Drosophila melanogaster: one gene and its partner. Changing the gene in region 1 together with any one later gene gives a genetic interaction. Each region holds a gene or a part of one and is shown on either strand. Other genes may lie near its edges. The genes, in order: Neto and wit.

Region 1 (3,926 bases):
TCGCAGGCAACACTTTTTTACGCTGGAATTTCAAGCTGGCAGACTCAAAGGATACTCTTTGGTTAAGGTTAATTGGGTATTAATGTGATTACATCGATTTTAAGTCACAGCTGACGGCTTGTTATAGTTTGCATTCGAAACATCAGTTTATTTTATATTATTTTGCAAACGTGCTAAGCTTGGGAGAGGTAATGAAAATAATGACAACTTCTCTTTTGGTTTGCCTTTCGTTTAAAACTTAATCAGGTTATCAAGTAAGCGTAACTACAACCTACAATTGGAAATTTTATATGTTTTTGCAATAATAAACATCAGATTGTTGGTTATACTTTAAGGTTTCCATCAGCTTAATAATCAATTTAATTTAAGCAGCTCGAGCAATGACATAGATTTTAAAATTGGTTAATTTGAGAGAGTATTAGATGATAGGCTTCTACTTTTATTTGAGGTGTTTAACGCGTTCTGTCATAGCAACGCTTCGAAAGCTAATATAAAGGCAATTAAGAGTGTCTGGAGAAACTTCACGTAATCTGCGGGATCTCAAGTTATTAAAAATATGTTGTAATGAAGGGAATGTAGTTTTTAAGAGACCACAGAAGTCGTTTTTTTTTTTTATTTCGCACACATTTCGTACAATGTATGCAAACGAATCGCAAAGGAAATATCAAATCGCTTGAGGCTTTAAGAAAACCACATTCACAACAGTTTCCACAGTCTGTGATCCAGGCATGTCATTTGACATTTCACCAAAAAAAAAAAAACGAAAAAAAAGAAGAGAATAACAACAAAAACACAAAGAAAGCAAAATATAACCAAAGCAAATAAAATAAAATATTTTGCGAAGAAGCCGAACAAAAAATGAAGACAGACTTTGTTGTCCTTGTCAGCGTGGCTACAACTTCCTTGGCCCAGGACGACGTCGGAAGTGCCAGCGGAAATGAGTAAAAAACCTACAACTCACTCAAAATTCCCGCTCACTCCCATCTCACTCGCACTCGAACAATGGGAAATTCCGTTTCGAGTGAAATTTTGTGCCACAAACGAACGCACTTCGGCTGCTTTCGGCCATCGCCTCGTATTCCCACTCACTCGACATTGAGCGTTTGTGGAGCATCCTCAGAGATGCCAAATATTTTGGGGGGGAAAAAAAGCTGAAAATAATTATTTTCCAATTTCTTAAGGTTCGCATGAAACCCGTATACTTGCATCATTGTTTAACGTTTTGGTGAAATGTTGTGATAAAATGAGTTTAAGTTTTAAAATAAATCGCACTATTTTTTGGCTCTTTACCATATCAAAATGTATATACTAAAATGAGCTTGAAAGTGGGCGGCGAAAATATGTTGATGTTAAGAAATGCATCTGGATATCGAGCAGACGTTTCCCATAATTTATTTTTATTAAGTTTTTATTTCTTAATCTCTATAGAAAAGCAAGATATTATAGATCACTGTCAGTTTTCATATTCACATCCGTAAATCTAATAGGAAACAATTTTTGTTTAAAAGAAATAATTAAAAGCTAAGATCCGTCATAAATAGTACTGTCAATTTGAGAGGCTAGAAAAATAAGATAATACATATCAGCTTATAATTTTTAAATTTCTTTTCGGGAAATTAATTTTTAAGCGTGGGAAATGGACAAAAATTGCTAGATTCTCGCAAGTATTTTATTTTATGGTGTGATATTCTTCTAAAATTAGATATTTTTATTAATACGTATTTTTTTTTTTAACAAGTGGAATCCAATTAGTTTGTTTTATTATGTTAATGATTGTTAGTATTAAAAAAAAAACTTCTATAGATATTGGGCAAACAACTCAATCAATTTTAGGTAGTAACATAATAAAGTAATAAATACGAATACAATTCTTTTTGGTTGATAGAAAAGAATAAGACAGTGAGCGGCTGGAAAAACTAGCCAGAGTTGTCGGGAAAGCCGGCTAAGTAAGCAGCACTGGCGGGTCGACAACAGCAGTGGCAGCATCCGCCGTGGCAGCGGCAACAGTCGAGCGGCAGACTCGATGCAGCAGAGCCACAAATTCCGGCATTACGTATACGCCCAGTCTACGTCGAGTTGGCCACGTGTACGGACACGCGGCGCGGTTCGCTTTCTCCGGTGACAGCACATTCGATATTAACGTTTCACTACCAAAAAAAAAAAAACATCGCGATTGGTTGCTAATAGACAAGCACCAGAGATACGATTTTAAAATCTTAAGGTTTTGCTTTTGTTCAAAAGAAATACAAATTTTTTTGTTTGGTTGTTTGTGTGACAGTGACAGTGCCAGTGTGAAAGTGTGTGTGTGTGAAAAGCTTGCCGGCTTGAAAAATGCGCGCCAAAAATTGAGATATTTTCGCGGAGCGCAGCGGCAACAAAAACAAATAAAAACAACATTTCGCAACGCAGCCAAAGGAGGCGACAACACGCAAATAGTAATATATACATATATATATAAATTAAACATATGCACATATACATATATATATTAGATGGCAGCTTTGCAATGTAAACAAATTATATTTCCGTGTTTTCTTAAAATAACAAATCTATTTGCCGATATTTACCAATTAATTAGTGGGCTAGTGACAATATTAAGTTGCAAAGGATAACAATTATAAAATAAATACGTATACTGCTGCATTCCGCATAATAGGCAATAAATATGTTTGCGAATATATTAATCAAATCAAGGCATTATGGCTGTGGTAGCTGAATGAAATTTGCATAAATCAAGCTTCAATGATCCAGAGGGCACATTAGTCTCTTTTAGCCTGTAGTTGTAAAAGTTGTTCGGTTTTAGCCAACAAAATGGAAATGAAAAGGCAAAAAGTGGATGTGTCATAAAAATTCCTTTTGCACAGAAGGCGTCCATTATGCGGATTCTAAAGCAATATTAAAATAATCTCTAGTAATTTCCTAGTAAGTGCCCACTTAAATGAGTTTTTCTTTTTTATTAGTGCGCTTTAAGTCTTTGATTTTATTTTAATGCGTCTTGGGATATATTTATACATATTATTAATTGTTAATTTGTTCAGCAGTTTTAGATCGAATATACTTGCGATTAAACATTTCTAAACATTTTGAAAAGTGTTCGATTTTTTGTTGTTTTTATTATTTATCTCATATAAGCTACAATATATGTTGAAAGATTTCGAATGAATGTTTAATTTAAACTATTTTGTCGCATTCGTTTGGAAACTTCGACCGTATTTTCTATGTATCCCGTATAGATAAGTTTGGGGCCACTTAGCGAATTGGCGGACATATTTTTAGACATAGCCCAAATAGTAAAAAAACAAGAGCAGAACGAGTAAGCGAAGAGGGGAAAATTGTATAAAAACCAAAGACACGAACGCAGAGGCTATAGAGAATTGGTGAAAAATGAGAGAAATTCATTAATAAAAGACAGCAACAAAAACAAGAGCAAAAATTAAACGGCTGCCATCAGGCTTTCCCACTTCTCTCACCAATTTTCCCTTTCGTTTTCCCGCTTTTCCTTGTCCACGGCACAGCTGTGATCACACGAAGAGAAAGAAAAAACAGAAGAAAATTCGGAAAAAAATGAAAATAAAAATTATTACATATGCGTAATGGGTATTTTGTGTTGTTGCTGCTGTTATTGAAGAAGATTTTCCAAGCTACAACTACAACAATTCCGTTAGCGCCAACTTTGACGAAGGTTTTCCATCGGCTTTTCTTTAAATACCCTCGCGAATACGCAGTGTATGGATTAGGGATTGATGAACTATGCTATTAGGTTAAATAAAAATATACTCCGCAAAACAATAATAATCATTTGGGCTTGCAAAACTGAATGCAATCTTTATTTATTGCATTAGTAGATTGAATAAATTAATTGTTTACGGGGTATTGTGTTGGTTGTTAATTGTCCATTAACTTAATTTCCCAGTGTTTTCTCTGTT
Region 2 (3,926 bases), on another chromosome or scaffold:
TCTTTACCTTTGGGGGCTTGGTTTTGCTAAGAGAGCCGAAAGATCTTGTGGTCTGAGCACCTATATAAGGCGGATCGTGAATAGAAAATCCCTCAGTTGTTATCTAGCTCACTCTGGCTCCGCGCACGCTTTTTCCGCTTCTCTGCTTCACTTTATTGATTCGCACCAACCTGCCCAAGTTTTCCACTTTGAGTGCTTTTAAAATGTCCCAGAGTTTTGTGCCAGTGCCAGAGAACAGCGATTTTCCGCTGGAAAATCTACCCTACGCTGTCTTCTCAACCGAAAACAATGTGAGTGATATCATACTGAAATCAAATCTTATATTTTTATGAGATTTTAGAACAATGGTCTCGCTGTTGTAAATGATAACTAAAGTGGTAAATGGCAAAGCAAATGTTCCTTTAACTCAGCCTGTTTTCCGTGTAATATTTTCAAGTTTTTCTTCAGTTTCATGTGACTTTGGATCGTTCCACATGTTCTAGAAATCAACTTTAGAACAGAAACCGCTTTGGGGCATAGCATTTGCATACATCATCCAAGACAAACTAGTTTGTTTACGAAAACAATATGCTAATCCAATCTTTAATACCCCAGCAACCAGGTTCTGATAAGGCCCCATATCATATATCGTATTTGTATATCGTAAATGGTGTTTTTCATCTTACCATCCGTAGAAAGTTCACCGTATTTGTGTGGCCATTGGAGAGCATGTCCTGGACCTGAAAGCTGTCTCGCAGTTGTTTCCTTTCCAAGTTCAGAAAAGCCTGCAGGCCGAAACTTTGAATGAGCTTATGGGATTGGACTTTGAAGCTTGGGATGTGGTAAGAAGCCAGACTCAAAAGCTATTGACGAAGGGTTCAGAATTGGACCACAATGTGGACTTGAAGGCGGTGTAAGTCGGATTTATTATAATAATTTATTATTCATAGTTAATAATTTATTTATTTATCAGTTCCATTGTGCCACAGTCTGAGATCAAGCTGCACCTGCCTGCACAGATTGGTGACTATACAGACTTTTACTCATCCATCCACCATGCCACCAATGTCGGCATTATGTTCCGTGGACCAGACAATGCTCTGATGCCCAACTGGCGCCATCTGCCGGTGGGCTATCATGGTCGTGCAAGTTCTGTGGTGGTTTCCGGTACTCCCATCCGTCGTCCTCTTGGTCAAACGTTTCCCGATGGAGCAGAGAAGCCCGTCTTTGGCGCCTGCAAGCTTCTGGATTTCGAACTAGAAATGGCTTTCTTTATCGGTGGTAAGGGAAATCAGCTGGGTGAACCCATACGCGTGGATGAGGCCTGGAAGAACGTGTTCGGTTTCACGCTGATGAACGACTGGAGTGCCAGGGATATTCAGAAGTGGGAATATGTGCCACTGGGCCCCTTCACCGCAAAGAATCTGGGAACCACCATCTCCCCTTGGGTAGTGCCCACAGCTGCCCTGAAGCCCTTCGTCTTGGACAACTTTCCTCAGGAACCGGAGGTGCTTCCCTATCTGCGCCAGAACATTCCCTTTAACTTTGATATCAACCTCGAGGTGTCTTTGAAACGTAAGTTGCCGCCTGTTAAAGATTTGTTACGTTAATTCACAAAATTTCCCCTTCTCAGCCGCCGATCAAAACGAAGCGCTTATTTCAAAGTCGAACTTCAAACACCTTTATTGGACTCCACTGCAGCAAATCGCTCATCACACAGTCACCGGTTGTAATCTGCGTCCTGGTGATCTGATGGCCTCCGGAACGATCTCCGGTGAGACTCCAGACTCGTACGGATCACTTTTAGAGCTCTGCTGGAAGGGCACCAAAACATTGGAGCTTCCGGGTGGTAAGACCAGAAAATTCCTCCAGGACTTTGACGAGGTCATCATCCGTGGCCACTGCGAAAAGAACGGACTGCGAATCGGATTCGGGGAGTGTGTGGGTCAGGTGCTGCCTGCCCACCCCGTTCCGCAGTAGGACCACTTATTAACATAAGTAAATGAAATAAATTCTATTCAGTCTTCCTGGATACGTCAATACATTATGATGTTCGGAAAACTTCAACTTTTCGTTCAAAAGCATACTTTTTGGGATAAATGGCCATCCATAGTAGCGTATACGTAATATTTTTTCTCGGTGCACAGTAATAAGCTCAACAAGTGCTCAACTCTTTCGCTCTCTCGCTACGATGCCTTGCTCTCTTTCGTTTACACAACTCTCGCTCCAATCGGAGCCTCTGCCATTCCACGCAGCTTCGTAAATACGCGCACGCCGCTTCTTCTTTGGCTGCAGAGAAGAGCGGAGAGCGCCAATGGGAGCATAGCTGAGCGGAGCAGCAAACCGCATTCATTCCTCGAAAGTCGGCGGGCGAAGGTGGGCGCGCTGCGAAAAGTCAAACGGCAAAACGGCAGAAAGGCAAAACGGCCCGCCTATCGGGCAAACTTGTTTAAAGTGCCATAAAAAAGCCTCTAAAAAGCGTAGAAATAAAAAAAGCTGCCGTGCAGCGCAAAGCAGACGCGACTGGCGCCGGTGCCCCAATAATAAATTTTCCGACGAGTGTGCAACTTCTTTCGGTTATTTAAAACAAAAGAAATAAATAAGTAATACAACTTAAAGTGCAAGTGCAGTGGTTGAATAGCGCCCTGAATTAAGTGTAAGTGCTGCTCGCAAATTGAAATTAAAATTAGTGCAGAATAGTGCAAATGTTTTCCGCAAACAACGCTGAATGTCTTGGAAAAATCAATTTTTTACTCCACTCTGCGCAAGTACACACACACAAATACGCTGACTAGCGAAGGGCAGACGGCGGGTTGGGGTGGGCCACCCACCCTGGCAGAAAACACTCTGTCTGCTCACAGTACACATGCACTGTTAGAAATGTTAATATCTTTTGCACATTATCACATAGTATGCATATGGATGTTCTTTAAAGATATGTATGTAGAACAATTGCGTTCGAGTAGTAGGATCAAGGGGCCATTGAAATTATTCGTATTTTGGATACATTATAAAATAATATACAACCCATTTGTTTACTGTGTGGAATGAAGTCAACAAGAGACCTCCGAATCCATACCCATTCAAATTCCCTTCGCCATTGTTGTTCTTGCTGTCCTCCGCCGACTGCATGCACTTTTGTGTTTTTGCATTGATTTTCCACATCGTTTTTTACACCGACTGTCGCAGTTTGGCCAAATGCATCTGCAGCACGAAGATGTATCCCCCGAATGGCGCGGATGTGTCTGAGGATGGGGACATGGACAAATGCACACGCAGCACGCAAAAAGTTAATCAGGCCCCAAAGAACAACAAAACGGTGGGGCCCAAAACACACTAACAGCGAAGGAGAATGTGAGCCTAAAGACAGTTTTATACCCTGTGATAAAACGAACTATAAACTAACATAGGTTCCTGTGTTACAATGTGATTTTTCTTAATTCATAAGTATTAGGAAAATTTATTGGTGCAAGATTTTAATGCAAGATAGTTTTAGAGCGTGTTGGGTACACCCTGACAAGTGTAGGGTATCGAGCAGTATTTGCAATTAACTGGCGCCGTCGGCTATCGTGCGAGAGCAGCCGGCGGGTTCCGCCTCCTCGCCCGCGGGTCCTCCTTCGGCCCACTCCACGGAGCACTTGGGACAGCGCCAGTTGAACCTGTTTTGGCGCGCCAGAGACACCGCTCTCTAGCTTCTTGAGTTCTCTTCATGTGCGCATTTGCTGAAAGTGGAGAAAGGAGAGGAAACCAGAAGCGAAATGGGAGAAAAGAAAGGCCAGAAATAGCGTCCCTTCGAAATTATAATTGCTCTATAAATTGAACATTATTATAATCATGATACAAGAAATATTGTACGAAAATGGAAAAGGAACAGAAAATATTCTATTCGGAGCTTTTCTTCAACTGGGCTTTATCGCGTTGACGCATCTTCCAAAGTTTTTTCTGGC

The links.
Region 2: of Neto (region 1) and wit, changing one enhances a phenotype caused by changing the other (phenotypic enhancement), as found in Drosophila melanogaster (one study listed by BioGRID).

What each region holds. Positions count from the first base shown.
Region 1 is NC_004354.4:13,443,843-13,447,768, forward strand, and holds the start of Neto (neuropilin and tolloid-like), read left to right. Parts: upstream 1-2,060; 5' UTR 2,061-2,435; intron 2,436-3,926.
Region 2 is NT_037436.4:4,070,118-4,074,043, reverse strand, and holds the start of wit (wishful thinking), read left to right. Parts: upstream 1-2,326; 5' UTR 2,327-2,635; intron 2,636-3,762; exon of another isoform or gene 3,763-3,861; coding exon of another isoform or gene 3,862-3,926. Other genes in the region: Faa (fumarylacetoacetase), read left to right, coding at 204-290, 675-892, 953-1,554, 1,613-1,959; CG32259 (uncharacterized protein), read right to left, coding at 3,862-3,926.